2 linked regions of the Drosophila melanogaster genome follow. The gene in region 2 interacts genetically with the main gene of each other region. Each region holds a gene or a part of one and is shown on either strand. Other genes may lie near its edges.

Region 1 (15,560 bases), 740 kb from region 2:
TTTCCCAAAGTCAAGAAAATGTGTGTTGCTCTGTCTGTTGTTGTTCCTGCAGCATAGAACATTTCTTTCAATGCGCCCAATCAAAAAGAGCCCAAAAATTGAAAGTGAATTCTGGTGTTGGGCTGCTGCAGCCCCCAACCCCCCGAAACCACCCCACCCCATCCCCCAGCCAATCCCCCCCCCGGCGAAGAACTCAGCAATGCCGCCGAGCAAACAACAAACAGCACCAGCAACAACAATTAACAACAATTCAATTTTAAGGGAGCATTACATACACACTTGGCCGCATTTACACGGAGAGAAAAGGGCAGATACTATTTCAATAAATAACAAGATAATAACTTTACAATTCTTCTTTAAGTTGAGAGCCTTATAACCTGCCAAAAAATAGTATGAAAGTACACACTTATGGGTCATTTCTCTCTGTGTACATATTTCTTTATGACTTCAGGGCGCATATTTGGGTTTGTTTGTATGCCGTCGTTTGTATCTGTGTGCAGTAAAGGAAAAATGTTCAAAATTGGGTCAATTTGTTGTTGCTGCTCTGTTTTTCTCTTTTTTTTTTTTTTGGTGGGGCGTTCTGCTTGCAACAAGTGTCTGGCCCTTCGCCTCGGCAGCCATCTCTTTCGCTCAGCGGACGCAGGTCTTGCCCTAAGATAAGTAACCGCCCGCCACCCGTACCACTTCCCCTGCCCCTTAAAGGCCAACAACACCCCCCACATCCCCCCGGAAGATTGATAAAGACGGCGACGCCAACGCGCAGCTGAAAATAGAAGCGCGCGCAGCTTTCTTGGAAGACTTCGTTTTTTTGACTTTTCGAAAAGGGCGCCCCTTGTAAATTTGGACGCACCAACACACAGATACGCCTTGATTAGCCATGTGTGCGTGTGTTGGCGTTGAGATTATTTTCTAGCATTTTTTATATTTTTATTGTTGCTGCTGCTGGGCCTGTAAGAAAAGTAGGCCAATGGGTCTTTGGGTGAGTGGTTTAGATTTAGTTTTGGTTTGGTTCGGTTTTGTTGTGTCTCGCCCTCTTCCTCTCGCTTTCTTTTGATTTGCTATTTTATTTGGTTGGCCTTTATTCTATTCACTTCGAATTACCACTCATCGTTGCACCTGGTTGTATTTGTGATTATATTTTTATAATATTCTATTAACTATTTACTCCCTACGCACGGTAGGGGAATTCCTGGCTTCTGCATTTTAGGTTTCTCGCTACAAGCCACGATTAGTTAGTTAGTTAGTGGAGATTAAAACTCCTTCGATGTTAACCCTTTTACTTTTACTTTCCGCCCTTTTTCTTAAGTGTTAATGGCCAAGTAGGCACATAAACTGCTTTAATATTCCCCTAAGGTGGGCCACTTTTTCCCAAATACATACTTTGCATACATACTTTTACTACGCGTAAACTTATTTCTTTTTAATGTGCGCTGGAGCTGCGTAATTGTTTCAAATGGCAGTGTCGACTGATTGGACCGAGAGAAGGTAAATGGATGGATAGCATTTCCACTCGACGTAAGTTGCGTAAGGAAAGTTGGGGAGAAGGCGAAAGGGGGGATGCGATATCATTTTCGCTGTGGGTCGCTGTGGCTGCACAATCTATTCGATGATTTACCATCTGGCCATCGTAGCAAATGTCTCTATTTCGCGTAGCTCGCTTGATTTATAACGGAAAATTCGTTTAGGCAAAACAAAACGCTAAACAATTTTTGTGGGCCACGTTAATAAGCGCAACATAACGAACATAATATCTTAACTTGGTCATCAGGCAGAGCAGACAGCCCAACAAAAGAAAAGGCATCTTTAAAGCAGCAACAACAGCACTCGGCTTGGCCCATTACATAACCCCCACACTCGGCCACAGATACACTCACAGATGCAGATACAGATACAAGCGCAGATACATGCCGTTCCTACGAGAGCGGAGCCGAATCTCAGCCAGCCAGAGCTTCAGCTGGCTTTTTAGCCTGGCTCCCCGAGTCTGCTTTTACACTATGCGATCGGTCCAACATGATGGCGTATGGCGTATGGCGTCGTCGAAAAGAAAATAGTCAATGTATTGTGGAGGGAAAACAACAAAGCGCGAAGAAAAAGATTGTGGTGCTACACTGCGAGAAGAGGGGCTAAAGTGAATATGTTGCATATTTTAGGTGGCAGGAGCTTGACTTGCACAGGAAAAATTCAAATACTTTGTGCTCAAATATCTTAAAAATATTCATGACAGTTGGTTCTCCTTTTGCAGCTCAACTTTTCTTCGAGTGGAGCTAGATGGGCCATTGTTGTTGCGGCGGCTGTATTAGATAGCAAAAGTCAGTCTGCGTCGAAGTCGGAGTCGGCATAGAAAGTGAAACCACCGCGTTGGCCACACGATCGTCGTTGCCAGGCGAACGGCAGCACAAAGGAGAGGGAACGAAGCCCGGCTCTAAGATATAAGCCAAACAACTAACTATTACTCAATCTGTGCTAAAAAGAAAAATAGAGATAGATGAATAGATGTAAAGTTGGTCTCTGCCTCTCTCTTTCCCTCGAACTCTTCCCTCTCTCTCTCTCTCTCTCTATCTCTCTGTTTCTTGCGGCACGAAAATAAAAGTGAAGTAACCCACTTTTTCCGTTATGGTTTTTATAGTCGCTGCAGCTAAAGTCGAGATGTTGGAGCCACAACAATGCGGAGCGGACGAAGTGGAACTGGAGTGTGAAAGATGGATTGGATGACAACGGAATCGAGATGGATTGAAACCGGGATCTGGAGCTGGAGCTGAAGCTGATTGGAGGTCCAATCTGCCAAGCTTAAGCTCGATCATGTAACCCAACATCGTATCTGTGATTAGTGTTGATTCCATTGATATCCAGTTACTTTGGCATATGATTCAATATATTCTGTTTGGATATGTAAGCGAATAAAAAACTGATGCTAATCTTATAAAATCCTAATTATTGTCATACTTAATAGAATCTTTATTAATTCCTTCATAAATCTCTTTGCCCGTCGTTAAGTGTCCCAGCCTTCTTTCATGGCGGCAATTAGCATTTATCAGCGCGGCGTACAGGTGAGACAGAAAGAAGTGTGTTTGCTGCCTCGTCTGCCCGTTGCAGTTGCGAGTCGCGAATTTATCACTTCTCGCTGCCGCCGCTCATAACTCATACGCCTCGTTGCCGCGGCGCCTAGTTGGGCAGTAATTGTGCGGCAATTTCTGAGCGCTTGCCAAAACGCAGATGCATTCGGCATTCGGCAGGAATCCCGCTGCAGGGGGCGAACTTTCTCCGTAAGCTGCTTAGAACCCTTATCAAAGTCAGGCTTAAATGGGATTGGGATGGATTTCGGTTGTGGCTGCGGTTTGTGGCTACCGAGCGACACCCACAAGTTCGAAGCAATTTCACTTTTGGGCCCAGAGTGCATGCGCAATTAGCTTTCATCAATCAAAGTGCTCAACAATGCAGCTAGACAAATTGGACGCACGCAGCAGCAGCAGCAGCAGCAGCAGTTGGCCAAGATACAGATACGGATGGAAAGAAAGTTTTGACCAAAAGGGCTTAGCCCGAGCCCAAATGTCTGTAAGTGATTATCTGCCCCAGGTCGGCATGCGTTTTTTGGCTCTCTGGCTCCGTGGCTCTGTGGCTTTTGTTTGGGCTTTCTCTGGCGCGTTAATTTGTCGGTTTCTCGAGTTGCATTAATTCTTTTTCGCTTTGTCGTTTATAAATTTGCTTTTCGTTTCGGGTTTGTCTTACTGTCAAATTGTGTCAACACGGCCGCCTTGCGATTGTCTGGGGTCCTCCACTTCGCCCTCCTTCCTCCCTGCAATTGGCCCAGTGTCGCGCCTGGCAGCCCGAAATGCATTGCCTTGTCGTATTTGTCCCATCGGAAGACAGCGAAGACAGCGAAGACAGAAGACGGCGGACAGAAGAAAGACCCTGCCCTCCCAATGCGGTGGTGGTGCGTCTCTTTCTGGTCTTCGCCCAGCGTATCGTTTTGTCGCCCAAGTATGGCCGACATTTAATTAGACACTTTTTGGCAGGGCTTTTGCATCAAATTGTGGCTAGGGCTAATTGCAGATTGGTAGTTGAACTGTGGAAATTAAGAAGTTATCTGAAATTCATTTGGGTTTTAGTCAAAACGCACGACAAGCCGATTCTTTGTATAAGGTAAATTTTATTTAATTTGTTTAGATTTGCTTTACAGTTTTCTTTGTTTGTGTATATTTAATTTACGAATATATAAATTAAAATGAGAACATTGCGTTTGCCTTACAATTAATAGCATTCATATCTTCTACGCTCTCGGAAGCGAACCCGTGGAATTCGCTACAAGTTGGTTGATTTCGGGAGGCTTTCCTCTGGGGATTGTGCAGGTAAAGCGATGCTTGATTCTCCGACTTACGAACTAGAGATTTGCTAATGTTGTGTGTCAAGCAGGGCTGGGCGTGGGAGTGGGCGTGGCATCAAGCATAGAGCGAAGCCGCACACCGTCGAGAACTGTACACATTTGAATTAGATGTATAAATAGTTAATAGGTTTTGAAGTTTGTATTTTCGTTCTTCGTTCCTGCGTGTTATTCTTTTTTACATTAATATTTTTAACATTTTTCTTTGGCTTAACTTTATGATAGATATAATGTATAAGATTATGTATAAAAACGTGCGAAATATATATGTTACAGTCGTTAAGAATTAGAATTAAGTACAAAAATATGCTTTACAGTGATAACAAGAAATGGGGACAGAGTAAATGTACAAGGAATGCCACAGCGATCGGCAGAAGAGTTTGGTCTCCAAGCGATGCAGCGGCCCACCAACTTGGCGCGACCGCTCCATCGTCTACGGCCAGAGAGGACAATGAGGAGCAGGAGGAGAATGAACCTTACGAGCTACCCACACAGCATTTGTATCTTTGATTTAGCAGAGTCTCGCTCACACGCACACACTTACGGCTGGAGCACTCACACACTCATACACACACACACACGAGCACTCAAGCATTCAAGCACTCACGCACACACAGAACTCGCAGGACACTGGCTTTAGCTGGCAGCGGCTACAGCGAGTGTTCGTTGGTGTTGAGGAAGCTGCGGCAGACGCGGCTCACTTCGGGATTGGCGTGGTTCATTAGCTGCATGTAGATCTGCTTGTGTAGCTGCAGCTCGTTGGTCATCTCACCAAGCTGCCGAATGAGGGCGTCCTTCTCCTTGAGCAGGCTCTTCACGCGCTCCTCCACCTCGCGGGAGCGCACCTTAGCCTTCTCCCGGCTCTTGCGCACCGCTATGTTGTTCCGCTCCCGCCGCCTGCGGTACTCATCCGTGCCCTTGTCCACATGCTTGTTGCTGTGCTTGCGGTGCTGCTGCTGTTGCTGGTGCTGCTGATGCTGCTGCTGCGCGTGCAGCTTGCTGTGCTGCTTGAGCAGATTGTGTGCTCCTGCTGCGGCCGCCAGGTGGGGCAGGTTGTGGTGCGCCAGGACGTTGGCCGTCGTCAGGTTGGTGAACTGGCTGCCGTTGCTGCTGCCCGTGCTGCCGTTGCTCCCGTTGCTGCTGGGCGTGGTGTTGCCTCCGTTGAGTGGGTTTCCGCCCCCGGTCAAGCCATTCGCCCCCGATCCGTAGCCGTTGTACAGGCCTGCTCCATTGCCCATGAAGGCGGCCTGCTGGCTAGCCGCCTCCTGCAGGTGCCGCCTGTACTCGGGGTCGATGGGCTCCTCCTTGATCGTGCTGGAGTCGGAGCCCACGGAGCTGTTCTCGTCGCTGGAATTGTTGTAGGTGGCGTGCACGGGCTGCGGCATGTAGGCCAGGGCGCCTCCTGCTCCGCCACCGCCTCCCCTGCCCCCGTAGCCGTGCTGGTTCCGCAGGGTCTGCTGCTGCAGGACCTTCGCCGCCGCCGAGACCATTCCGCTCGGCGGCAGGGTGGCCGAGAGTCCGCCCGGACTGGTCACCATGTCGCTGAAGATGCCCAGCGTTTCCGTGTCCCTGAACTGGTCGTCTATCAGGTGCTGCAGGTCGAGCGTGATCTCCTGGGTGGTCAGCTCGTCCAGGTCCGTCTGAGTGGAGTACTGCTGCAGCATCTGCTTCTGCAGCAGGTTGTTGTTGCTGCCCAATGCGGCGACCTGTTGCATCTGGTGCATGGCGTGCTGCTTGACCAGGAGTGCCGCGTCCTGCGACGTGTTGTTGTTCGCATCGGTAGTCTGCTGCTGGGGTTGCTGCTGCTGCTGTTGTTGCTGCTGCTGTTGCTGCTGCTGTTGCTGCTGCTGTTGTTGCTGCTGCTGCTGCGCCGTGGACATGGCCGTCAGTGTGATCTGGCCAATGGTGGCCTGCTGCAGGGGAGGCTCCTTCTTGAGGTCCAGCTGGGCCAATGTCTGAACGGCATCGGCGTACATCTGCGGCGACTCCATGTTCAGCATTTTCAGTTGCGCGAAGGAGGGTAGAATCTTGATTCCTTGTAGAGCGTTAATTTTGGCTGTTTTTAGAGTTCAGATTTGGGAATAAACTTTTGCTCGTTTGGCGCCTAAAGCATTGCACTGAGGTAAGAAGTGGGTCTTTGGAAATGTTCGACTCGGATAGCTCGCTATTCCGTATGCTTCATCTTAGGCTGCCTGGGTGGTCACTGCAGCCGAGCATCGTACTATTGCTTATTATGTTTCCGATTCTTAGCGCAAAATGTTTTATTCAGTTTGTTTACTTTGTTAACTCGACACTGCACTTCTCCGGCCGCACGCGTTCGAACGACTGAAGTGCCGCGGCAGTGATGCAACAGATTTTATACGAGACGGCCTGACGACTGCCGTTGGCTAGTACTCTCGTACTCGTACACGTACGTGTGCTGGTGTTAGAAACGCTCCTGAAGAACCGTTAGCTGAGCGAGCTTTTCTTCGATTTGGATTTTCTTGGCCAGCGGAGAGCGCGCGTCCGTCGCCGACGAGTGGTAAATTGTAACTGTGACAAAACGCGAACGCGAACGCGGCAAAGTGAAAAAGTCTTTGGCGCAGCGACGCAGCCGAAGAAAAAGAAAATGAGCGGCCAGCGCATGTAACACACACACACACACACATTCACTCGTACCGCTCCACACCGAAGCCCCAAGCGTTGCCGTCGCCGTCGCCGTTACAGCAAAGCAAAGGCGGCAGCAGCACAGCACAGCACGAGCAGAGCAAAAGCAAAGCAAGAGCAGGCAAAGCACAAGTAAGCCAGGCAAAGGCAAAGGCAACTACCTGTGGATGAGAGCGAGAGCCGCGATCAGGTAAAAAAGCAAGAGTTTTCCCAATCACTTTTACTCTCGTCGCAAGGCAATTCACTGGGCCATTCTTGTGGTTGCTGTGCGGGCCAAAAGCACGAATGCAAGCAAAGTGCATTTGGTACGAAGCTGGGAGATACTTCTTCAGTTTCCGGAACTTAATATCATATTTGATAGGATAATTACATTTTTTATATAGAATTTATTACATTTATACATGTTCCACATAAGTTAGTTTAGATATTAGTTTAGATATTAATTGTTTAATTAAGACCCCATCCTAGAATCCAGTATTAGTTATGCGCTGATGCAGTGAATTTCATGATAAAACTCAATGCAACGCACGATCGCGTGACGTCACACAAAAGGGAGCCCCAAGGCACCCACACAAGCTCAAGCGAGCACAGACACCAGCAGCGCGCGACGTCGGCAGCGCAGCCAGCGCTCATTATTCCTTGGCTCTCGCTTTCGTTTTCATTTTCATTTTCGGTTCCGTCGCTTTTGCTTTTTTTGGGAGAAGAGCCGCACAGCCGCAGCGAGAAGCAACAACACCACGCCCGCACACACCGGCACTCCGCTGCGTAACCCCCGACCCCCATTTTGGGGCCTTGCCCACTCCGATTTGTGTTTGGGCTTCGACTCGCTTTGCGCCTTAGAAATACAGAAAAGCAAAAAAAAACACAGAAGTGCAGTTACTTGGTGGATCGGGGGATTGGGGGCTTGGGGATTGGGGCCTGTTTTTGGCGCGCATGCGTGACTGCGCAGTGGAAGCGCAACGCATCGCGGAGCTTTCACGTAATAGGCAGCGACGTCTTATTAAAATTAAGACTGTGTTATGAAATTCATAAAAATTAGCACGGCTCGTAGTTTTGTTTATTTAAATGCAGCGATTTGTGAAGTCGCCTTCTCCACTTTTCCCCCATTGGCGCTCTTCTGCTTGGTGCTCACTCCGCTAACTCTGCTCACTCTGCTGACTCTCCTGAGTTTTCGAGTCTGCAATTTGGGTCAAGTTGTCGTTTACTTTCCGAAGGTGCGTCCCCTGCTTTCGGCCCCGCCTCTCGCCCCCGTCTTCTGCCTTCGTGTATGTACCTTTTGTTTACCCGGACTTTATTAATCATACGCCCCGTGCGCCGTTGCACGATAAGAGGGTATTCCGCTGTCGATGACAGGACAGCCACTTTTCTTCGCTTATCAGTCAAGCTATTGCAGCGAATCGGAAATATCGCCGATATCGATGACTGCATCGAGATTGTGCAAAAGTGCTTCCTTGTGCGTCCACAAAGATATTCTTCTGGTCGGGTGTATTTCAAAACGCATTCAACGCACCCTTATTGTTCTTGGGGGATTGCATTGTGCGGTCTGGTTACCCAAGAACTGATTCCATATCGATCGATGGGAAAGGTGATGAAATCTGCAATTTAAATGAGGCAAGATCGATCCATGTGCACCTTATCTTATCAGATTGTTTATGGAGAAACTACTGGTTAAATGGGATTAAAGCAAAGCAAAGTCATTTATTTATTTGCTTATCCTCCTGCTAACTGGAATCGTCCAAGGCTTACCTAAAGTTACCTATTTATAAAAACTTGAAAGCATAAATTTTTTAAAATAAATTTAAAAAAAAAACACTTCAAATTAGCAAGTAGGTGGACTGGCTATAAATACCAGCCCTTTGGCCAACAAGAAGGTGTTAGCCCTGATAAGATTAAAAACGCAAATACCATTGGCCCCCAGTAATTTCACTTTTTAAAATTGAGTAGGGTATTCATAGAGATGCTAGCATAAATCATAGATATTTACCCATTGATACCAAACTTGGAGAAAGTCTAGCAGATAAGCAGCTCTTTATCACCTTGATCCATTTCAGCGTTTTCCCAAAAGGGAAATTGTAGGCGTATTTATCTGCCGTCGACAACGCCCACGCGCAAAGTGCCTAAGAGTTTTATTTATATATTTTGGCAAACGACTGATAAGACGGCCAAAAGCCGCGAATTCGTAAACAAAACAAATACGAGTAGCGGCCACAATTCACAATTCACAACTGGCGTTCGTTGCACTCTGCAAAAAGTTGTCTGACACATGCGAAACTCCGACTGAATTGTGTTTATAAACACGGCCATAATTGGGAGTTTTGGCCAATGATTTCTAGACGGCGTTGTGTTTTGTTTTGTCTTCATTTTATTCGCCACTCGCAGTCAACTTATCTCGATGACGCGTAGCCAATTTAACTCTGCACTTCCTCAAATCCGAGCTCAATCGAAGTGAACTCGAGTCGATGGGGTTGGGTTACACACTCGCTTCATTCTCACGGCCTTGTTTATAGGAAAGACCTTTCTAGGAAGCTTTTTTGTTTTGGTGCGGTGAATTTTGTACTGATAGAATAGATATTAATTCCATAAGTACGCTTCTTTATTGACTCATCGCAGCAGATAAGTTCATACTTTTCACAAAACCCAGTTAGCCAAAACTCCGGTGGTTTCCACCTAATTGCAGTGTACTTAACACCATTTAAATGCAACCAGTTCGACGACCCCAAACTCTTTTCCAAAGGGGATTCTCGTGCTTTTGCGCTTCACTTCTGTAATTCTGACTCTACTTCCACAGAAAACGAGCCCGTTCCCTGTCGCCGTGTGCTGATGAGTACAGAAATTAATAATATTTAGTGCTGATGCGAGGCGATTCGGCAATGAAAGTCGGCTCTTCGGCGAAAACTTTTCGCTGCCCGCTGCTTAGAAAAGTCTTGCCAATTAATAGGAGCGTGAGAATAAAACGCGCGAGCCATCGAGTTCAACCAAAAATAACAAATATTTCAATTATTATATTTTAATCTAATCAAATTTTAAAACATCATTTTGTTTCATTGTTGTCCATGTGTAATTATATTTATAACAATAAAATCTATTTTAAAAATTATGTAAAACTTAAGCATATATTAACTTACTACTTATTTTCAAAGCTATTAGCAAATGGCGCGTAGAAAGTTAAAATACGTTTGAACAATTTGAATTTGAATTTAAGCAGCGCTTGTAAAGCAGTTTTATATCGATAGGTATACTGCTTGCTTAAAAGTTCTCCGATAACTTATGTGGCGCCATCTAGGCAAGAAGTTATGAGTATATGGTGCACTGCTTGGGAAAGGTGACCTGCTTGTCAGTTGGCGCCAATTCATGCAATTCAAAATCTGAAAATACGGCAAGTAATATATTTTAATCATTTATATTAGGTAAAAAGACTTATGTATAGTATTGATAAAAACAAAAGTATTTTATATACGATCCGAGGGAATTTTTGAAATTTCTTAAGTAAATTGTAAGCTGAGCGTTGGTATTTATTGTTCGCCTCTCACCTTTGCGCCCATTTCCATGCTGCCCATCGCCCGATCCTCGAAAATACATCGAAAAAGCAGCCCGATGAGCCCACAACTCATCCTATGGGATGCCTAACTACCTTTGGCATGCGATCGATGGCCCGACGACAAACGCATTGATTGAAATAGTTTATTTGCAGGCCAACAGTGAGTGACCGGCTCTTGGGCCCTCGATTGTGTTGCCTTTTTGTGCCTTCCTCATATTATTTGTGATGTTGGCAGAGCGCAGAGATAATGATGACGAGCTGCCAGGCCGGCCAGAGGCCAAGGAGCCTGGCCAGAGTCCGCTGGTCCACCCCCTTGCGGACTCTGGTGGGGATTGGGGGGCCGCATAGTGGCCGGGGCACGACTGATTGGGATGCCTGGTGAAGCGACGTGCGCAGAATTGACATTTTGTGTGTGCATTTGTGCATTTGTGCATTTGCGCACAGTGGGCGCGATAAGGTCGCACAGTCCGCTTCCAGGCGACTCCGACCACTGCTCTGATTTCCAGGCAAAAGTCAAAGCCGGGCACAAATTAAAAATGCCCCACAATTGCCCGCGAGTTTGAGATCGGGAACGAGAACGAGATCGATCGGGCGATCGATCGACAGCTTCTGCACTGCCAGTGGAATTTTCATATGAGCGCTTGATTTCAGCAAAATTACATACTTGTAATTTTAAAATGCTGCCGAGTGCCGAGAGAGTTGAAAAGCAACAGCACAAAAAAACGCCAAGCATCGCCGAGTCCAGGAATTTTAACCCCAAGTCGCACTGGCAGTCTGAATCTCAGTCCGAGTTCCCGATCCCCATCCCCATCCCGAGTCGTCTTCTTCCAACTGATCACTTACGCACATTTTATCACAGCCAAACTGGAGACATCGCTGTGTGAGCCTCCTCCTCCAACTCCCTCGGCTGGATCGAATCCCGATCCCCCCAATCCCCCTTCGGTTGCTGCGCAGCTTGACAATAAGTGGCTCGCAGTCAGATGGGCAGATCGAATGGTGGCTACCTTTTAGTTCAATGATCTTCGCTAGTTGTTGCAGAATCCCAACTCCAAACTCATCCAGAATGCTGGACGAGTCACTTGAATCACTTGCTAGATATTTTGGTAAAGGCGATTTCCTCTAACTTTTAGTAATAATTGATGTTTCATATTGTAGTGTGGTGCTCCAGTCCAAACTACCCCACATACCCCCTAGCTAGCAGGGAGGAAAAAATAAGTTACCGTTCTACGCGCTGAAATTTGTTGTGCCATCGACGATCCGCAGATCCCAAGCTGCTGTGCTCCACCGTTGGCAGTTGGCAGTTTGCAGTCTGCAGTCTGCAGTCCGCTGCTTTCCGTTCTGATGGCCTCAGCCAGTGGACCGTCTGCGTCGATCCTCCGCCTCCACCTCCATCTCCCGTCTCCCGTCTCCTTGTCCGCCGTTGTTGTCAGTTGGAGACCGAGTACAAGCGACCATAGATCGCTGGCAATCGATCAAGTATTTCGCGTACATTATCCGAGATGCGTGGGATAATTCTGTTCTAATTTGTAGAGGCCCCGAGCTCCAGTGCCTTTGGCCTCTGGACTCTGAGTTCTGGGCTTTGGGCTCGACTTGGCCAAAAGTGCCTCGAGGAGCCCACTTCCATGCGAGGCACGCACCGACCCATCTGCGCCTGCCTTCTGATTTTCATAATTAATATTGGGTGAATTAAAATGCGCGGAAGGCGAGGAAGTTAGAACCGCGTGCTCGGGAGGAGGGGAAGTTAAGGGAAGGGCAGGCGGTTCCGAACTTCCTGCACTTGTCACCGTGAAAAGACGCGGCACCACCTGCATGCAAATGAGCCGGACTACCGGTAATCAGGTGAAACGGTCACGACCTGTTAATCGTTTTATGATTGTAGCGGTGCTTTTGTTTCCTGTGCACAAACGGTACTTGCACTTCGGCCCAAAAGAAAACCAATGCCCAGAACTGAGAACTGAGAACAGAGAACTGAGAAGCGAAATCGTAAGGCCAAAACCCCCAGCTTTTCCTTTTGTTTTCGCCCAGGGAGCCGCAATTTTATTTAAATTGTAACACAAGCGACCAGACAATTGCCCCGAAGTCTCGCAGAGCTCGATCCTGATTTCGATTCCGATCCCGATCCCGATTCTCAACCCAATCCAATCCCTACTCCCTGCTCCTTATGCGTTATTCATGAGGCAAAAACATTGCGATCGCCTGTACCAATTGCCAATTGGTTCGACTTTTGAGCTGGCGTTGGCGGTTTTCTCTGCCGGCTTTGTCAATCTCAGGCTTTTGGCTTAGTGCGCTGGAGCAGGAGCAGGAGTTGCAGTTGGACCTGGCTTGGTTAAGTGGTTCATTGTCACCCCAGCGCCCAATTAGACACCTGAGTTTCTTGGCCACTCGCTTTCCGGCGATCATACACCGCAGTCATGTGCTCATGTGCCACGTTCTTGCATTCAATCAGATATATTCCGATTGGCCGATCTCGGGCCCATCTGTATAAGGAGTGTGTGTGCTCGGTGGTTTGAGTGTGTAAATCAACCAGCTTGCTGCGCAGATAATAGATATTCTATTTTGAATAATACCTGGGGAGTCGCTTGTACTGTTTTCGTTTTTTTTTTGCTATCTTAATTGCATCCAATTCTACTATCACCAGTCGTACCAATGACTTGCCATCCGAATCTCGTGCTTTACTTGAAATCCTAACACAATATTTCGCAGATACTTTCCCGCATGACCATACTGAAAAAGACAAAAAAAAAGGAAATTTACATATTTCGACTATTTAAAACACTTTGGCTTTGGCTTAAGGCAAATGCCCAAGTAGCGCTATAAATAGTAAAAAAGTCTATATATATAAATATACACATATGTGGCTATGGCTATGGCTAGCTGCAAAATCAAAAGTTGTTCGGAATCGTAAATGGAACAAACGCTCCTCTCGAGTTATAAATATATTTGGGAATATACCTATGCCATCCGTATGCCTAGATGATCTGTCCACCGTTTTGAAGGTGAACTCTGCAGGATTACATAATGCGGACTCTGAGCAGCAGCATCAGGAGCAGCCCCCTAATTCCCCTCGTCCCCTCTCAAATAAATGCACGTAAAACGGCAAGCAAATAATTAAGTATTAGAAATGTTCAGCTGGGGAGAATTCCGCGGAAAGTGCGATGGCAAAAACTACAGCATGTTGCAGTTGTTCCCAGCTGGCCAGAAGCCTCCAAGAGAAGCCAAGAGTTCTCCTCCAGACAGGCTGACGATTGCCTAGAAAGACAGCCGCACTGGAGCCAGCGGACTCCTACTGCCGGTGGAGGAGAAAACGGCGGAGAAAGAGGGCCTGGATGGCTGCAGACGCTGAAGAGCCCAGCCTGCAGCCAACTAACCAATTAGTAAGCGCTGCACAGAACGCGTCTACAATTGTGAGAACCTCAGACCAGGCTTGCAGGCCAACAAGTCAACAAGCCAAGAAGCCAACAGCCAGCAGGCCGTGTGAGTATGATGAAATGTCAGCAGGACCAGAAGCTGCATCGAAATGCACTCGGAGAAATACTTAGCAAACAACTAAAACCAAATTACACAATAAAAAAGTGTCACAGAGCTAGAGATGCATATGTCATATGACCCATCTGTAAACCTAATCCATATAAAATACGGAATTATTAGGAATGCGTGGGGATCATCAAACTTCATCTTTATTTATTGTTCTTTCTTTTCGCAGTCTTGGGGAAATGGGAATACAAGTGGAAGGCATCATTCAGATTCAAGTGACCCAAGTGGCATCCGTTTTCCCGTAGTGTCCAGAAGACCTGGTGCCCGCTGCGTGGATCGATCCTTATATGATCCGCTGGCAGCGGCAAACGTTCTATTTTGACAGTCATTATGATTAATTTAAATCATTAGGCAGCCCGGGCAGGTAGACAAACCATCGAGCTCCTATATTCCATCTAATTAAATGCGAGAGGAGCGGAGCTGCAGTTGGCTGTGGTCCTGGTCCTGGTGCTTGATCGGAGTCGACCTCGGAGTCGGAGTCGTGGAGCTGGACACGGGACCTGGACTGGCTTATTCGCGGAAGAGACAAGCTGGCGACAACGACACCGATGGCTGGAAAAGGCAACGATGACCATTTGCAGCTGGGGAATGCATCATCTTCGATCGCGGATCGGGGCGCAGTGAGTGTATCGATTTATCTGCGCTTACTATATACATATCTGCTGCTATCTGCTAGTCGCTGCACGTGGCCATGCCCACTCCGCCCCTTTGCCCATTCCGCGAACCTCTATTTAAGGACATGGCGAAATACTCGTGCTCCTGTGTACAAGTGGGCCCACCACGCAAATCCTCTAGAGCATTCTGACCATATTGGCGGGGCTAAGAAATTCCTGGCATAGTTTAAGTGTATCGCTTTTTGTTGCTGCGCCCGGGCACTCAAGATGCCCGCAAAGCTCAGCCTGCGAAATGTCGCAAAAGAAATTACAAAATCAGCAATAAGAAAATCAGAAAATCACAAAATCAGAAGATCACAAATTAACTAAATTAACAGCGCTGATAAGGCGAAACGCCACGTATGTAATTACCGAACTCAACCACGAGTTTTCAAGGGGAGGAGCCAATGAGCCACCCAGCCATATGAATCCCAAATCCACGATCTATGTGTGCGCATGCGCAGCGAATGGGTATGCATATGGGGGCGTGGCCATCTAATTAATTAAGCCATAAAGCCAGCAAAATGAACGACGGCAGCAGGAAGACGCCGAACGGGGGTGGGGATTGGGTCGGGGAATGGGGGATTGGGGTTTGTTTTTATGTACTCCGTACTCTTCGCGTTCGAAATCGAAGAGAGCGCGGCGCTCTTAGGAAAAGAGGAAACCGGTTCGCCCAAGTTTGGAATATCGAGCGAACATCGTTGGTGGAAATACGCTGAAGTTTATTAGGTATTTGCACGCCATCTGAAGAACAACGAACGCCAGCTATCGATCGCAAGTTTAGCCCGTCGAATCGTTTCGAATTCGTATT
Region 2 (16,036 bases):
GAAAGCAATGGAAAACATTAGGCGTGGTCAGTGAGGGTCAAAAGTTCTGATCACCTGAGCCACTGTGTGTACTGGGTGTGTGTGCAACAGCAGGGCTTTTGAAAATATTTGCTTTAAATTGTTATTATTTATTGACGATCCAATTGTTATTGAGACACATAACTACGCAAATTGCGTGCAATTTGATCGACAGGCGTGCCGAGATTTGCCGTGATTTGTTTGCCACATTGCGTGGTAGCCCGATTCACGCAACGCATCCTCAATTGCAGCAATTGCAATTGATAGGAATCGAAGCGACGGTGGTAATTGATAGTGTGCCACTCTGCTGTTATCAATACGCAATATGCCGCCTGCTTCAATTGCGAGCGCGTCACGCACTTGCACAGCATAACAGTGTTATGCCCACCGCCCACCGACCAACTACACTGAAAATAATTATGGGGATTTTCGCTATCAATTACAGTTTAGTGCTAAGTTTGAATGACACGCAATGAAAATGTCGTATTTTAGGAACTATGGTTACTACTAATTCTAGCAATCATTGCTTAGCAGATTTGCCTTTCTCATGGCAAACAAATAGTAAGAAACAAGTTAAATGAAAATGATAATTTACTTAAAAAACAAATGTAAGGACCACCTTTAATATTATAATTCTCATAAAATGCTGTGAATAAGTCGAATGAATTCGATAGAGCAAAACCAGTATGTCAGTTGCACACCAAGTGTTAATATCTAACCTTGTTTCCATGGAATATCATCCGTATTGTTTCTACCATTTTATAATGATTTAAGCCAGGTGACTGGTAAAGGAAGAGTGGGAGCGAGAAGGAGCATCGCTCCAGAGATAATCGCAAAAGCGAACGAGAGCAGCGAATGAGCGTTTAAGATGCTCATAAATTCTGGACACTTGACTTTTTTATGCTCACCAGTAGGATTCGCTAATTTCCACGCCTTTGTGTGTGTGTGTGTGTGTGTGTGCTTGTGGTCGGTCCCCTTCATATGTGTGTGTGTGTATCTGTGTGTGTTGCTGCTCTCTCACAGGGGCTAAAAATGGGCTTTTGATTTACGCAATATTATATAGACACAGATATAAATATTTGCCTATGGCTACTCCACCGCCTCAGATTGACATTGACAGTCGCGCTGCCGCTTTGTGAATTTTCACCAGCTACGGAAAAGATTGATTATATAGTGCGATCTCAAAGAATTGGACAAGTGTCAAAATGAGCCACGAGATTCGGTAATTATCTGGCACTCGAAACCAAAGAAATTCAAAAAACAAAAAACAAGAGTTCTGGCTACCAGAAAGAGGGATTTACCAATCACAATAAACGGATTAATTCGCAACGTAGTGAACTCCAATTGACTCGAGTGGCGCTCAGGCGATAAGGTTGAAAAAGATTGGTTATTGTTTTATGGCCATGTCGTGATTTGATTCGCATTTTTTCGGCCATTTATCTATAAACCCAATTGACAGCCGAACGGCAATCACAAGTCTACTATATTTAGTACACGGCTACTTCATGTCAGTCCAGCCATCGATGGCATTCCCGCAGCAGGCATCGTTTGTCGGATCAGCAGCATAAGTTGTGCTTCCAAAAAAGGGTGTTTGGAAAATCGATGCCAAGTCAATGAACCTCGAGCAGCAGGGGATGGATCCGCAAGGGGTGGAAAACCAGCAGGAAATCGTCCAGGCAGCCGAAGGAGAACAGCAGTTGCAAAGGTCTAGAAGCTTGACAAACTAACTACAAAGTTGCACAATAGTTGAGATTGTAGAAGTGTGTCGCGGGGATTAGGTGCAAATCGAGGAGGGCTTTGCGAAACGATAGGATGGTCTTAGATAGGATATGATTGATGAAGTTCCTAAGCAGGTCTACTTAGAGTCGAGAAAGAGATGGACGATGGCGTGCGACAGAGAGGGTAGCTCGCTTTTTAGTGTGGCATTATTCAAGCGCTTCTCTGACCATTTCAGTTGCTGTAAGGTCTTCAAAATGAAGGGATCGACGCTGGACAAAATCTCCGCCTTCCTCGGCGAGCTCATCGGCACCGGCATCCTGGTCTTCCTGGGCTGCATGGGTTGCGTGAAGACGGACCTCTTTCCCAACAACCATCTGCAGATTGTGCTGAACTTCGGCTTCGCCGTCCTCATCGCCATCCAGTGCTTTGGCTGCGTCTCCGGTGCCCATCTGAATCCCGCCGTGACCGTGGCCGCCTACATCTACGAGATGGTCACCCTGCGCATGGCATTTGCCTACTTCGCCGCCCAGATGCTGGGCGCCTTCATCGGCTACGGCCTGCTCATGGTCCTGCTTCCCTCGCCCACACTTACGGTGGGCGCTGGGCTCTGCGTGACCTTGCCCCACACCAGCGTAACCACGGGCCAGGCCCTCGGCATCGAGTTCGTAATCACCTCCATCCTGGTCATCGTCTGCTGCGGAGTGTGGGATCCGCGCAACTCCAAGTTCCATGACTCCGTGGGCATTCGATTTGGCCTGGCCATCGCCTGTCTCGCCTGCGCTGCCGTAAGTTAAAGCGAACAGTTGGCTAATCCTTACCTGCCTCGAAACGGATTATTAACCTCGTTCCCTACCATTGGTTTTAGGGTCCCTTCACCGGCGGCAGCATGAACCCGGCCAGGTCGTTCGCCCCCGCCCTGTGGAACAAGCACTTCGAGAGCAACTGGATCTACTGGCTGGCCCCGCTGAGCTCCTCCGCCATCACCGCCTACGCCTACAAGGTCGTCTTCCGCCGCGAGGTGGTTGAGGCGGAGATCACCTCCAATGAGAAGCTGCGGCAACTGGAGGACGTCCAGCTGTCGTAAGGCCAAAGACATTGCTGTAGGAAAAGCCCTAACTAATTTAGTTAATATCTAAGATGCCGAATTTTAAAATAATGCATTCGTTGTACGCTAATGTTAGCAGTGTCTTCACAAAGTGGCTCGAACGTTTCAAAAGGCGAACCAAGTGCACACACTTACATAAGCCCTTGAAACGATAAACGTCTTGGTGAAAACACTAATTGCCTTCAGAAATAAAGAACATCGAGATTTTTAATCTAAAACCAAAACAAAACAAGTAAATTATTTTTATGGTTTTAAGAAATTCTACACAAGATATTGGTAGTTATTTGATACCTGAAGTTCTGCTCTTCTGGGCCATCTTAAAACATGTTGAGTCCATATTATCTAAAAGCTTTTCATTCTTCAATAACGAGGTATTTGCTTTGATTAGCTCTAAGTAACTTCCGGGCTTAAAAATACCAATAAGCTTTTTCCAGGAATCGAAAGTGAAAAAAGCCCATCAGCTTAAGCGGTCTTTGGAAAATCTGTTCATAAGATATTCGAATATCTTAGTACCTCCAAATCGACCAATCAAATGGTGGCTAAAAAACGTTATCAGCAGGCTGCGAATGAGACGCGCGTATCAGCCAAATAAAGCCAAAATATACCAACAATATGCAGTTATTGTACGTTACGTACTCCATTCGGGTCTATAGTCCGTATACGAAGCACAAATGATATATGTGGTTCTATGTGGTTTAAAGGGGACTATGTGCTATGGGTGATATGCTAATGCTGGATTTGCATCACTCTTCTGGAATTTCTGGAAATCACGGGGTGATTCCTTCGAGTAGCTTTCGAACACCATAGGCCAGGTTTATTGGCCTTGTTGTAGCGATTCAGACACTGGCTGGCACACAAGAAGTACGAGTATTGGCCAGGTCTCGGCGACCCCGTTCGCCGTTCGATAAAGATCTTAATGAGATAAGATTGAGCACAAATCGGGCGAAATGGCAGTGGCGCTTATCAGGCCGATAATTACGGCTGAGCAAAGCCCCCCGAAAATCGCCTTGATGGATTGATCCATCCTGAATGGGTGGGCGGGAGCTGCTCCCAAATCTGCGCTCGATAATTAGCATTAAGGTTTTATAATGGATTTTGATTGATTGCCGTAAATTTTGCTGGCACGTTGGGTCACTTGGGCAGCCGCCCAAAATTGCGGCAGTAGAGTTCCGTCAGCATGTCGCAACAGAAGCAAAAATCGCAGGAGTCCAATCCGAACGCCAGGTGGCGCCTGGAAGGACACCAAAGGAGTGCGATAGCCTGCTTCTTCGGTGAACTGGCGGCGACTGCCGTCTTCGTTTTCATAGCCTGCATGGGCTGTGTGGAAACGCCGCTGTTCCAGAATTCGCACTTTCGCAGTGGCCTCACCTTCGGCCTGGCCATTCTCATCGCCATCCAGTGCTTCGGCTCCGTTTCCGGTGCCCACTTAAATCCGGCCATCACCCTGGCTGCCTGGCTCTACGGCGCAATCGGTTGGATCCGGGCCATTGCTTACTTTGTGGCCCAGGCTGCCGGAGCCCTGATAGGCTATGGTCTCCTGGTGGCTGTTCTGCCTGGGAACTCCATCAAGGGTGTGGACAACCCGTCGGGTGTTTGTGTGACAATTCTGGCCCCCGGAATCAGCGTACTTCAGGGGGTCTTCATCGAGTTCCTCATTACCTGCTGCCTGGTCATGGTGGCCTGTTCGGTGTGGGATCCACGGAACGCCAAGCTGCAGGATTCGGTGCCCGTGAGATTCGGTCTCACCGTCTCCTGTCTGATCCTCACAGCGGTTGGTATTTCGGTGCGTTTCAAAGTTGCGAAGTGTTACTTAATGGGAAGTCTGTTGCTTTTAGGGTCTCTTCACGGGAGCCAGCATGAATCCGACCAGATCACTGGGTCCAGCTGTTTGGAACGACTCCTGGGCACACCACTGGATCTACTGGGTGGGTCCTTTGGTGGCAGGAGCTGTGACCTCGCTGATCTATCGCATGGCCTTTAAGGGCGACGAGGAGATCGATCTGAGGACTTCCGATGCCAAGATACGAATGATCGGAGAGGTTATAGTGCAATAGGTGTGAATTGAATCTTATCGAATAAACTATATATATATACGAATATGTTGTAATAATAGAGCCACAAAATATTTAGGTCGATTAAGTAATTAAGCACCACCTTGTATTATTTCCATAGCATACAATTGGGATGAGCGGCGATATTGGCCATTTTTTTGGGGGCTCGTATTCGCTGGAAAGTTTGTCGAGTTTGTCATATATATCAATAGGTCCATAGGTCTTTGAAAATCATTATCAATGGCCATTGATAAGTAGCCCCTTTTAGAATTGCTCAGCTTGATAGCGAATGAAATGTTCTGCGTTTCAACCATTACAACAGGCGGCTTAAATCATATTGATTAGATGGCTTATAGCCCCCTTTCTAGTGGGACACTAACTTAGTGCCTTGTCACATTTTGAATTGCCTTAAAACGTCATAAAGTGGACATACGCACTCGAGTGAATGGAGCACACCAACGCGAATGTTTGGCAATAGTTGGGTAGATATGAGTATATAGAAACGCTGGCTGATAACCCACCTAAGGCGATTAGACGAGATTGCCGGCGATTAAGAGCCGGCGATAGAGTATGCGATTCGCACCATTGAGTACTTGGTCTGGAGTGCAGTCCACGTCGGACCACGTCTCCGTTAAAGTCAATCGCTCGTCGCGACGCACGTAAATCATGGCTACAACCGCAAGGTGATCCACCAAGTTCCAAGTCTTAAAATCAAAATCTAAAATATCCTCGAAGAGTGACTCAAAAAAATTTAAACACAATGAAACCCACAAGAATACTAAAATGGAATACTCCTCTCTATTTCGCAGCCAATCCAACTGCTGGCTGCTGCAGCGCCGCCAGCTGGACAGCATCACAACAGTTCTTGCCGAGATGATAGCCACCGCTATGCTGATGTTCCTCGGATGCATGGGCAGTGTGGAGAACTCCGTGTTCACCAACTCGGACTTCCAGAGCGCCCTGAACTTCGGATTCGTGGTGCTAATCTGCATCCAGTGCTTCGGTTGCGTGTGTGGCGCCCACCTGAATCCCGCCGTCACCCTGGCCACCTACGTCTACAACATGATCTCCCTGCCGATGGCTTTGGCCTATTTTGTGGCCCAGATGGTGGGCGCCTTCATTGGCTACGGCCTGCTGAAGGCGGTGCTCCCGGAGAGCGCCATCTACAGCGCTGAGAACCCCAATGGCGTCTGCCTCACCTCGCTCAACAGCACCTTGACCCCATGGCAGGGACTGGCCGTGGAGTTCCTGATCACCTGCGTCCTCATCTCCGTGTGCTGCGGCGTCTGGGATCCCCGCAATGCCACCAAGCAGGACTCGCTGCCAGTGCGATTTGGTCTGGCCATCGCATGCCTGTCGCTCACAGCGGTAAGTTGATTATTGTTCGGAATAATTCAGATACAGTATTAGATATATCTTATTTTGTAATCCACCTTAATGTCTGTTTGTCCAAGTAATACCGATACAGATAAGACTGTCTGCTCTTAAGAAATATCAAATTGACGATCCGCTATGCTAAAATTCCATTCACTATCTGTTTTCAATTTATCAGGCAAATGCACTTGACTTTCTCGGTATCGATGATAACCTTTCTTTAAATGGCATATATACACTTTTAATATAGACATTTTAGCCATCCCATGAAATGCAATCAATAGGTATCAAAAAAATGTTCTTAATAAACAATTGTAAATCCCCCAACAGGGACAACTGACTGGGGCTAGTATGAATCCAGTCCGATCCTTTGCTCCGGCCATTTGGAACGGATTCTGGGATGACCACTGGATCTACTGGGTGGGTCCCATGGCGGCTGCCCTGATCACCTCGGTGATCTACAAGCACGCCTTCCGGCGGGAGCTGGAGGAATCGGAGGTGGACGAGACGACGATGTCAACCAAGAGGACCTCGGAGGCGGAGCTCGCCTAAATGGATTTACTACACATAGGACAAGTTATCGTTTAAGTTCGTGTTCGTGAGAGCGGAGAGAGCGGATAGTTTTAAGTTGCGAAGCGTGCAAATAAATAGCTTAAATAATTTCCAACGCCTGACGACTATATATTTAATCTAATGTAAATGCTATGCTTATCTAAGCCAGATTATTTTTACGCCACGGCGAACTGCTTATCGTTAATATTTAATTGCTCATACACTTGATCAAATAAGCCACACGGTAGCCAAAAACGTCGAGCTTATGTTTATTGTCACAGCTCAGTTGCACACTGGAATTTCCAAGGGCTTATAAGGTGGCGTATACGCATGATTCCACACGAAGGGCACCATGATGGCGGCCAGGATCTGGCCAGTCAGCTGCATTAGAACCGAATTCGGACTGCCGTAGAATATGGCAGGCACCAATGTCTTGGCGGGGTTCATACTGGCTCCAGTTAGTTGAATCTGCAATAAATGCATATATAGCTATAGTATCTATAGATACAAAATCCAAAGCCTTTCAACTCACCCCTGCGAAACTGCAAGCGATCACGAGGAGACCCATGCGAATGGCGACCGAGTCGAGGAACCTTCCGTTTCGCACGTCCCACAAGGAGCACCATCCGAGCACGAGGACCGCGGTCAGCAGGCACTCGATGATGACGACCTGGTATGTGGACAGAGTGTCCATCGGTTGTACCAGGCAAATGCCTGGCTTGCTTTTGTCCACCAGCTCCTTGGGCAGCAGTTGCATTAGCAGGAAGTAACCAAGGAAAGCACCGGCCATCTGACACACCACGTACATCATCATCACTTCCAGGGCGATGTAGCCCATCAAGTAGCATGAGATCGAGATGCATGGATTCGAATGGGCTCCGGATACGAAGCCAAACACGTGCATCACCACCATCACCGTCAGGCCATAGTGAACGCTATACGATAGAGTATTTAACAATATTCTATTATAGAAATCTCACTAAGCATCACCTGGCCACCAAGAATTTGCTCTCACCACCTTGGTTCGTTGAGTCTCCCATGCAACCGAGCAAAATCAGTAGCGCAGTGGCACTGAACTCGGTGGCTCCGCGTATAAAGGTAAAGAAGTCCCAGATCATCGTGAATTATCCGTAATATGTAATGTATCACAGACAATTTAAGGAAAAAACTAACTAACTAAATGATCACTGACTAACTATGTATGTCTGAGTATTGATTCTCCTACCGAATTCGTATATTGGAAATGTTTAACAAATATATTCGCAAAGCAAGAGGGGTTAGGTTTACTTGGATCATTTGTTAGCCATTTTTGAATGTGTTTTTGCCTCACCTAGTTGGCGTGGAGAAACTTATTAACGAAAAAAGCATAAGTACACAAATTTGACGCAGAGCTTAAAGTATGTTTCGGGGGGCTTATAAGATTCTTACTTTTTTAAAGACAAGAGATACCATGTTTCTATGGTAAGTACGTCCGCAATGTGAGTTCCCTTAAATCCACAATTTCCATGCAGCAAGAGACGACCGTTTAGCGATCTTTTTGACAAAGGAGGCAGTGGCGGTATCGACACGTATCATGTTGTGAGTATCTCCTAACTAAACATTTCAATGACTCATAAAGAACGTTTACCTCCAAGAAACATTTGCAGGGGAACAAGGGAAAAGAGGCAAGGATCATGGAACTGACCGCACAAATCGAGTCACTTGAAATGCAAATCAAAGCCCTTGAGAAAAGTAAGTCGTCCGAGGCGAAGACTGCGAGGGGTAAACTTATATTAGTGCTCAAAGAGTTGAAACAAGCCCTCCGAAACATAAGAATGAATAAATAAACATAAAACTAAATGATTGCAACAACTTGTTTGTACTGGCAAGGGCGATGGTAATTTTACATTTGACATGCGTAACCAACGCGCCACCTATGGGACAGCAAGAATGCGTAGCATAGTTTTTGGCATAGCGAAGAATGAGATAACTATAAAATGTGGTTATATGCAGAATTTCAGCTCCATATCAGCAGTTTGCCAGTTTGAAGTATCTTCAACACTTTGCAATTACTTTCAAACTTTTAGAGATAATCAAAATTAGCTGTTTTCATTTTCGTAAGCATGGACATTAACCCAATAATCAGATCTATTCTCAGCCGCTTCAGAGGCTGCACCATCAGGTAGGTTGCATTCTGTGATTATACATATTCAATCATAACATTTTGATATATAGAAGTTATCTGGTTGTCCTGCCCGATCAGAGTCGCATAGAAAATCAACTAAAACTGGAGGATCTGCAAACAGTAAGTTGTTACCTTTCAAGATAGATGATACAAAAATCGAGCGCCATCTAATCAAATCCCATCGTCAGGAACGCGGAATCTTGGATCTGCAATCCCATGAGCTGGCACTCAAGCAAAAGCGCGTCGAGGCCAATCTAACCGACCTGACCCGCTGCATCCGTGGCATGGAGTTCGATGTGAAGGTGAATTCCAATCGCGAGAGGAAGGAGAGAAAATCTGATCGACGCCCCCCAGCTGATAAGAAATCACCCAAAGTCGGTGATTTCAGCGAATAGCAAAATCCCCCCGGGTGCTTCCCAATCCCAAGGGCATACGAGTGCAGCGTATAAAAACAAGCTATTGCCGGAGGTCGGCATTCAGATTCACTTGAGATTGCCAACCATGAAGCTGATCGCATTGTGCTGCCTGCTCCTTTTGGGCCTCCTGGGCTTCCTAGCTGCTCCCGGCGTCGCCTCGCCATCTCGCCACACTGGACCAGGAAACGGATCGGGATCTGGAGCTGGGTCCGGAAATCCGTTCAGGTCTCCAAGCTCACAGCAACGACCACTGTACTACGACGCTCCGATTGGGAAACCATCGAAGACTATGTACGCCTGACGTAAAGAATGAAACAATAAAGATTTGAAACGCCTAAACTAAATTAATCGCCCAGTTTCCTTATCTTACTTATGAAATGGCCTTGATACACATCTGCTTACTATTTATAAAATGCGTAATAATTATTTCTAAATTTATTGCAAATTCTAAATTTCATATCGAAGTAGTTGCTTTTGACCGTACGTCAAATATCCACATTGTACTTTCAGACTTGTAAAATGTATTTCTGCCACACTGATTTCGTTCTATCCTAAACTTAAGAAGCCATGTTTCCTGTTGCACGAATCTTAGGCTCGGCATCGTGCAACAGGCTATTTCAACCTCAGGTGCTATGTCAAGAAAGAGTTTGGTATGTAGTACTGGAAATTTATCCAAACTTTATTTGTAAATCTTCTAAATATTAGTTGGCCTTCCAATGAGTTGCACAGAAATTTACCAAGGCATAGAAACTTTTACCACGGTAGAAACATTTTCCACCCAAGGTCGAATAATAATTTAAACGAATTTCCTGCTAAGTAAGTATTTTATTATTCAAATGACCCGTAAAAATAATTTTTTTTTTACATATGATAGACGTCAATTCACTGACAAATTTTCCGAGAAGGGCAGAGGCGAGGAACTTAACTATGTTCTCAAACTTGTATGTATCGAAACTATTTAATGTTGTGAATAACCTTGTAGAATTGGGTATTCCATAGGCCTCAGAGCAATTTATGAAGATAAAAAAGAACAGGGTTAAAGAAATCGCCAATGATATCGTCAAATTGAAAGAGGAGATCAAGATTTTGGAATCCAAAACTAGCCACAAATCAAGGAAACACAAGGAGAATCTGCTAAAGGAATTGAAAGCTCTGAAGGATTTGTTGGAGCAATTCAAAAAGAGTCTCGAAAAATGACCTATCAAACGGTAGGCTATCACTTTTAAGTTTGTCAATATTCCACCTTGAAATACCTCATCAGTTACTATAGTAAATTCCAAATTATCTTCCTCCGTAAGGATACAATGCTGAAGTTGGTCGAAAAGCTTTTCCAACTGTTGCGACCCAGGATGTGTCAGTTTTCACAATCCAACAAGTGAGTTCCGTGTTCTGAGCACTTATGGCTTCGCTTATTAGATGCATCTCTGTATCCAGGAACATATCCAAGCATTTGTTCGAAAAAGCCAGGGCGGAGGAGAACATACATTTCCTTAAACTGGTTGGTTTGTGATCTCAAAAAACGAAAGTAATCTATTTAAATTTAATTGCAAATTTACCCAGCAACGGGAACAGCTGAAGTCGTTGCGAGAAAAGATTCTCAGCCAGAAGAACGAAGTCACAACAAAGATCATCAAGGTGGATAAGCAGATACAATCGTTGGAAAAAACCAAGACCGAAGGCTCACAGATGAACCATGAACAAAATTAATAAAGTGTAGCTGAAACATTTGCTTGTTTTGTTTTGTATTTTATTTAAAATAATTTGTATCTCTCATTTACACGCTTTACAAAGAAGTCTTCTACGACAACTGAAGCCGAGTTGGCGGCCTTCTTCAAGCCTGCTTATACGTAGGGTACATACATATCATATATTATATATGGTAACAATTTGTTTTGCAGCGCAAACGGAAAATATGAATTAAAAAGAACTTTCATGTAATATGGCATTGAAACAAACATATATAGGGTCATATATATATCAACATAGTCTATACAAAGATACAAATAAATACAAGTTCAAGTAAGAATCAAAATCAGAGACAACTGCCGATTGTGTATGATGCATTGACATATATAAGGTTCTTCTCTTAGGACTATGAAAAATAATCTTGTGTGCATTTCATGTTCGTTCAAATCGTTAGTTGTGGGGTAGCAGAGGTCAAGAACGTAAGTACAATACATTTGTGGTAGTTGAGCAACTTGGAGAGAGTGGTTCCCATACGAACTAAAACTAGAAACTAACTAAACTTGACTTGACTTGGTCAAGTGCTGGTTAGGCCAGAAGAGAGTGTGTCTGTGTGTGTGTGTCTGCTAGCTGAGTGTGTGCATATTGTGTGTGTGTGTGTGTGTGTGCTTGTGAGGTAGGCGATTCATCATCATCATCGTCATCATCATCATAAGATTATGGCATACTTCCGAGCGCCTCCTGATCCTCGCTGGGGTTCTTGGGTTCGGTTCTGTGTGTCGGGTTTCGCTTCTAGCTTTCAAATACTGATCAACAATGCCAGGAATGTCTCTCTGTGTGTCGGGTCTGGATGTGTAGCTGTGGATCCTGCTTTCAACTTAAGACTAACTCTAGTGCTAACTCTAGTCGATTCCCAATCACGCTCTCTGCCTGCGAACGTGACCGAGTTGACAGGCTTTATTTCTATAAACTAATGTAACATGAAACGGCGATGGGCTGCTGCTGCTGTTGCTGCTGCTGCTCCTTTTGCTGCTGCACTGCCTCCTAACTGGGCAGTCGCTTGCTGGCCAGCTCCAACTGCAGCTTCTGCAGCGCCAGTGTCTTGTTGATCTCCACTAGGTCGCGACTGTGCTTTGCCGCCTGCAACTGCACCTCCAGGATCTTCATGCGCATCATGTGCTCCTTGCTCTGCATCTCCATGAACATGCGCAGCTCAAAGTTGTTGTTGTTGCTGCTGCTGCTGTTGGCATTGGTGCTGACTGCCGTTCCCGGCATGGTCAATCCATTGCTGCTGCCGGACCGCTCTAGGGCCTGCGAGTCCGAGGATGCTGGCACTGATGGGGCCAGGACTGGTGCCTGATCCTCGCTGCCCAACATGCTACCACTGCTGGTGCGCTGTCTCTTAGACTGCGGCTTCATGCTGTCCTCGTCGTCCTCGTTGTTGTTGTTATTGTTGTTGTTGTTATTGTGCTGGTGATGCATGGCGACCTGGGCCTGTGCCTGGTGCTGGTGAATGGCGGCCGCTGCCGCTGCTGCTGCACTGGGAAATTGGCCAGAACGGAGGGCATTCAGTGCCTCCAGCGTGGCGGATATGTTGTTCATGTTGAAGTTGGCCTGGAAGCCGGACATGTCACCTCCTCCGGCCATATAGGCACCGCTCGAGTCCAGGACATTAGATGTGGAAATCGTGGCGGGACTCTCGGCCTCGTGGATCCCGTTGCGACTGATGCTGTGATTAGGCGACACACTGAGACGCTCGCCGCTGCCAAGGATGTCGCTCTGGTTGAGGTGGTGATGGTTGAAGGTCTCGTTGAAGGTCTCGTTGTTCTCCTCCTCCTTGATGTCCACATCGCACAGTTCCTGCGGCGGTGTGCGGCTGCTGCTCAAATAGAGAATGCTCAATAAAGATCTATTCAGACTACCACATAGCGATCAACTTACTCATCCATGTCGTGGTCTTCGGGATTGAATTTGTAATCCTCACGATACTCAAAACCCTCCTCCAAGGCCAGTGGAATCTTAGAGTAATCAATGCCATCCAGGGCCTCCGATTTGCATGCCTTCTTCGCCTCCTGCATGAAATCCCACACCTCGAAGGTGAACGGAGATGGCTTCTTGCGATCGGCCACCTCTGCTCCAAACCTGGCCAGGCGATTATTGTAGTCCAGGATCTCGTTGCGAGTACATGCTAAAGGATGAGATCGAAAAGGTTAGCTTTGCCATTAAATATATGTATTTTATAAAGACTTACCCTTCATGCGACGCCACTGTTCCTTCAGGCGATTGCAGGTGCGATCGGTGCCAAACTGATTGGAGAACTTCTGGTGGATAATCTTCCATGCCTTGTTCTTCACGGCGGTCAGACCGGCATCCAATCTCTTGTTCTCGATAATGCGCATGTCCTTGCGACACAGATCGAGTAGGTATTTCTTCTCCTGGTGGTTCCAGTTCTGGGTGCGTTCCCTCTTCTTGTACATGTTCATGGAAGGACTGTTCATGTACTGTGTCATTTCTGCAAGCATTCGATGATTGAATTAAGTTCCTTCAACGGTCACTTCGTTTTGTTTAACTTACCCGTCTTTATGTCGACGCCCTCCAGCAAGTTGTGATTGGAATTTTGCCAGTTGGCGGCAATCTTCATAAAAGCCTCCAGATCGGTGGCCGAATACTGTTTGTTGACCTGCAACGGAAGCAAGAAGCGAGTGGCAGGAGGTGAGAAATCAGTGATTCGTATTGGGAGGTAACTAGTAACTGGCAAGAGTCCCCAAATTACCCGCACAGTGGAATTAGAAGCCCCAGATTGGCCTTCCCAGTAGTTGAGCATACAAAACTTGTGCCAAATTCCGCACCAAACGAAAGCGATTCGCGGGACGCACTCGAAAACCCAATGAACTTGGCGATGAATACTGCCAAAGTCGAAAGCAATCGAAAAATTTGGAGTTTTTCGGTAATTATCAGAGTGTTACTTGGGGCACATCAATTGGGTTTTTGTTTTCAGACAGTAAGGTCAGTGAAAACAAAAGGATTCTGATTCGGATTCTGAATCTGAGTCGTTGAGTCTTGAATTCCTTCTCTTGTTTTCATTCCCTTATTCCATCGAATTTACCCTACCCTGGATGATATCTGACTTTGACATGAGCAGCTATAGGATGCAGTCACATTAATTGATTTTCAATTAGCAGACAGGCGGACAGATGAACCGAGCGGAGAAGGGGGGGAAGGAGGTGTGAGCGATATCGGGGGTATATGGGTACGAATGGGCTAAAAAGAATGTGAATATACGAACAATCGAATGAATTGAGCAGCCATAAGACGAAAAAAAAAAAAGTAAAAAACCATCAAATAATAATGCCATGAAACGCGTTTTAATTTATAAGCTAACACAACAAGCAGCTGCCGACATTTTGTTTGTTTCGAAAATGTATCTGTGCGGTTGCTCGGTATCCGAATCCGAGTATTGGTGCGATTGAGTGGAGCGATCAAGAGACATACTGACAGCCAATTATATCTAATCAAGTACATATATATTCAAATGTACTATATAAATATTCCAGAATGTGCATTTACTCAACGCGTTCTTCGGTCGCTTTCTGGCTCCTTCGATTGTTCCCCCGTCTCGAAATCAGACACAAAAATTCCCTCATAATTTAGTAATAAAAGAATATTAACTAAATTGGGAAGAGCATAGAATTATCAATAACCCTTTGCAGACAACACGAATGCCCAAATCCAAAAAAGAGCTCAACTGTACTTGCCATATATTGTCTTCATCGAAACTCTTTCATTGATCGCTCCCCCAAAAAACACAATCGTCAATCTTAAGTACGTTTTATGGTGCTTTATTTTATTTCAATTTTGTTCAGTTCCTTCCGTGCCCCTCAACTACCCCACCCCCACCCCCCCTGCAGCCATCGAACACCCACAACTCTTGGGTGTATAAACTACTGCGCCATGTGTTCAATATTTATGCCGTATCTGATTTACAATTTATACTTATACTCGGCACTCGTATGTGTACCTCGTACACTCGAACTACGTATCTAGATACATACGTATATATGTACATTCGCATTTATCGCGTACTCGAAGACTGAAAGGAGACTTAGTCATTGGAGACGCGGCGCGTGCGCTTATTATTTTTTATTATTTGAGCTCTTCCTATATACATATATAAACTCATATTTATTAGCAAACAATTAATTATTACGGCCGACTATTATGGAGCTGTTTAAATTTTAGTCATGAGCTGCGGGGTGGTTAAACCGCTCCTTTTGGGAAGATACACGCAGAGAAAACGATATGCTGATTTGAGAAATCAATAGATTCTTCAATGGGAGGTTCTCGTACTTTCAAGCCCATGAGATGCCAGAGTTTCTGTCAGTGCATTCAAGGAATGCCAGAATCATTTAAATTCGAGGCGAGTGCCAATTATTCGCCAGGGTGGGGCTCCAGCCAAGTTAGTCAAAGATGAAGTTCGAAGATGCCAACTGTGAAATTCTGTGCCCGAAAGAACGCGCTGCTCTCCAGGATCTCTCAAGCGATTTGATACCATTTTTGTTTCGATTCGGAAATGTAACTAAATTACGTCAATCCGCGATGTATATTGGATTGTTTGCTGGCACTCCGCTTTTGGGGCTGGCAGCTCGCACACTCATAGAGGTAATCACACTCCTCCAATCAATGTGACTTCAAAACTAAGCATTGAAATTAAATAAGCAAACTGGTTTAGATTTTGGTCATCTACGTCTGTGAGCGTATGAGTATGACTGTTTGTTGTTATCTGCTTTTGTGGGCTGTTAATATAAACGAAGTATAATTACCGAATCTACATGCTCTACTCGAACCCAGCGATTGTGAACCTACACACACGGCGCAAACCGGAGCAACAAAACACAACCTTGTGCCTTAAAATAAAGCCCGGCATTGTTAGCTCTTACGGCTACTTATAGTTATG

What was found.
Region 1: of apt (region 2) and slbo, changing one suppresses a phenotype caused by changing the other (phenotypic suppression), as found in Drosophila melanogaster (one study listed by BioGRID).

The regions. Positions count from the first base shown.
Region 1 is NT_033778.4:24,327,393-24,342,952, forward strand, and holds slbo (slow border cells), read right to left. Parts: upstream 6,916-15,560; 5' UTR 6,379-6,915; coding exon 5,029-6,378; 3' UTR 4,130-5,028; downstream 1-4,129. UniProt on the Drosophila melanogaster protein: Required for the expression of gene products mediating border cell migration. Among the DNA sequences that this protein binds with high affinity is a conserved site within the promoter of its gene.
Region 2 is NT_033778.4:23,594,618-23,610,653, reverse strand, and holds apt (apontic), read right to left. Parts: upstream 14,063-16,036; 5' UTR 13,907-14,062; coding exon 13,856-13,906; intron 13,763-13,855; coding exon 13,657-13,762; intron 13,595-13,656; coding exon 13,334-13,594; intron 13,271-13,333; coding exon 13,024-13,270; intron 12,962-13,023; coding exon 12,127-12,961; 3' UTR 11,128-12,126; downstream 1-11,127. Other genes in the region: Eglp4 (entomoglyceroporin 4), read left to right, coding at 1,848-2,522, 2,603-2,821; Eglp3 (entomoglyceroporin 3), read left to right, coding at 4,020-4,613, 4,678-4,896; Eglp2 (entomoglyceroporin 2), read left to right, coding at 5,703-6,261, 6,598-6,819; Eglp1 (entomoglyceroporin 1), read right to left, coding at 7,102-7,287, 7,352-7,754, 7,810-7,937; CG43209 (uncharacterized protein), read left to right, coding at 8,219-8,280, 8,331-8,397, 8,454-8,645; CG10332 (uncharacterized protein), read left to right, coding at 8,922-8,980, 9,034-9,103, 9,172-9,378; IM18 (immune induced molecule 18), read left to right, coding at 9,485-9,700; CG42559 (uncharacterized protein), read left to right, coding at 9,967-10,049, 10,105-10,215, 10,274-10,340, 10,399-10,596; CG42560 (uncharacterized protein), read left to right, coding at 10,704-10,774, 10,834-10,897, 10,960-11,106.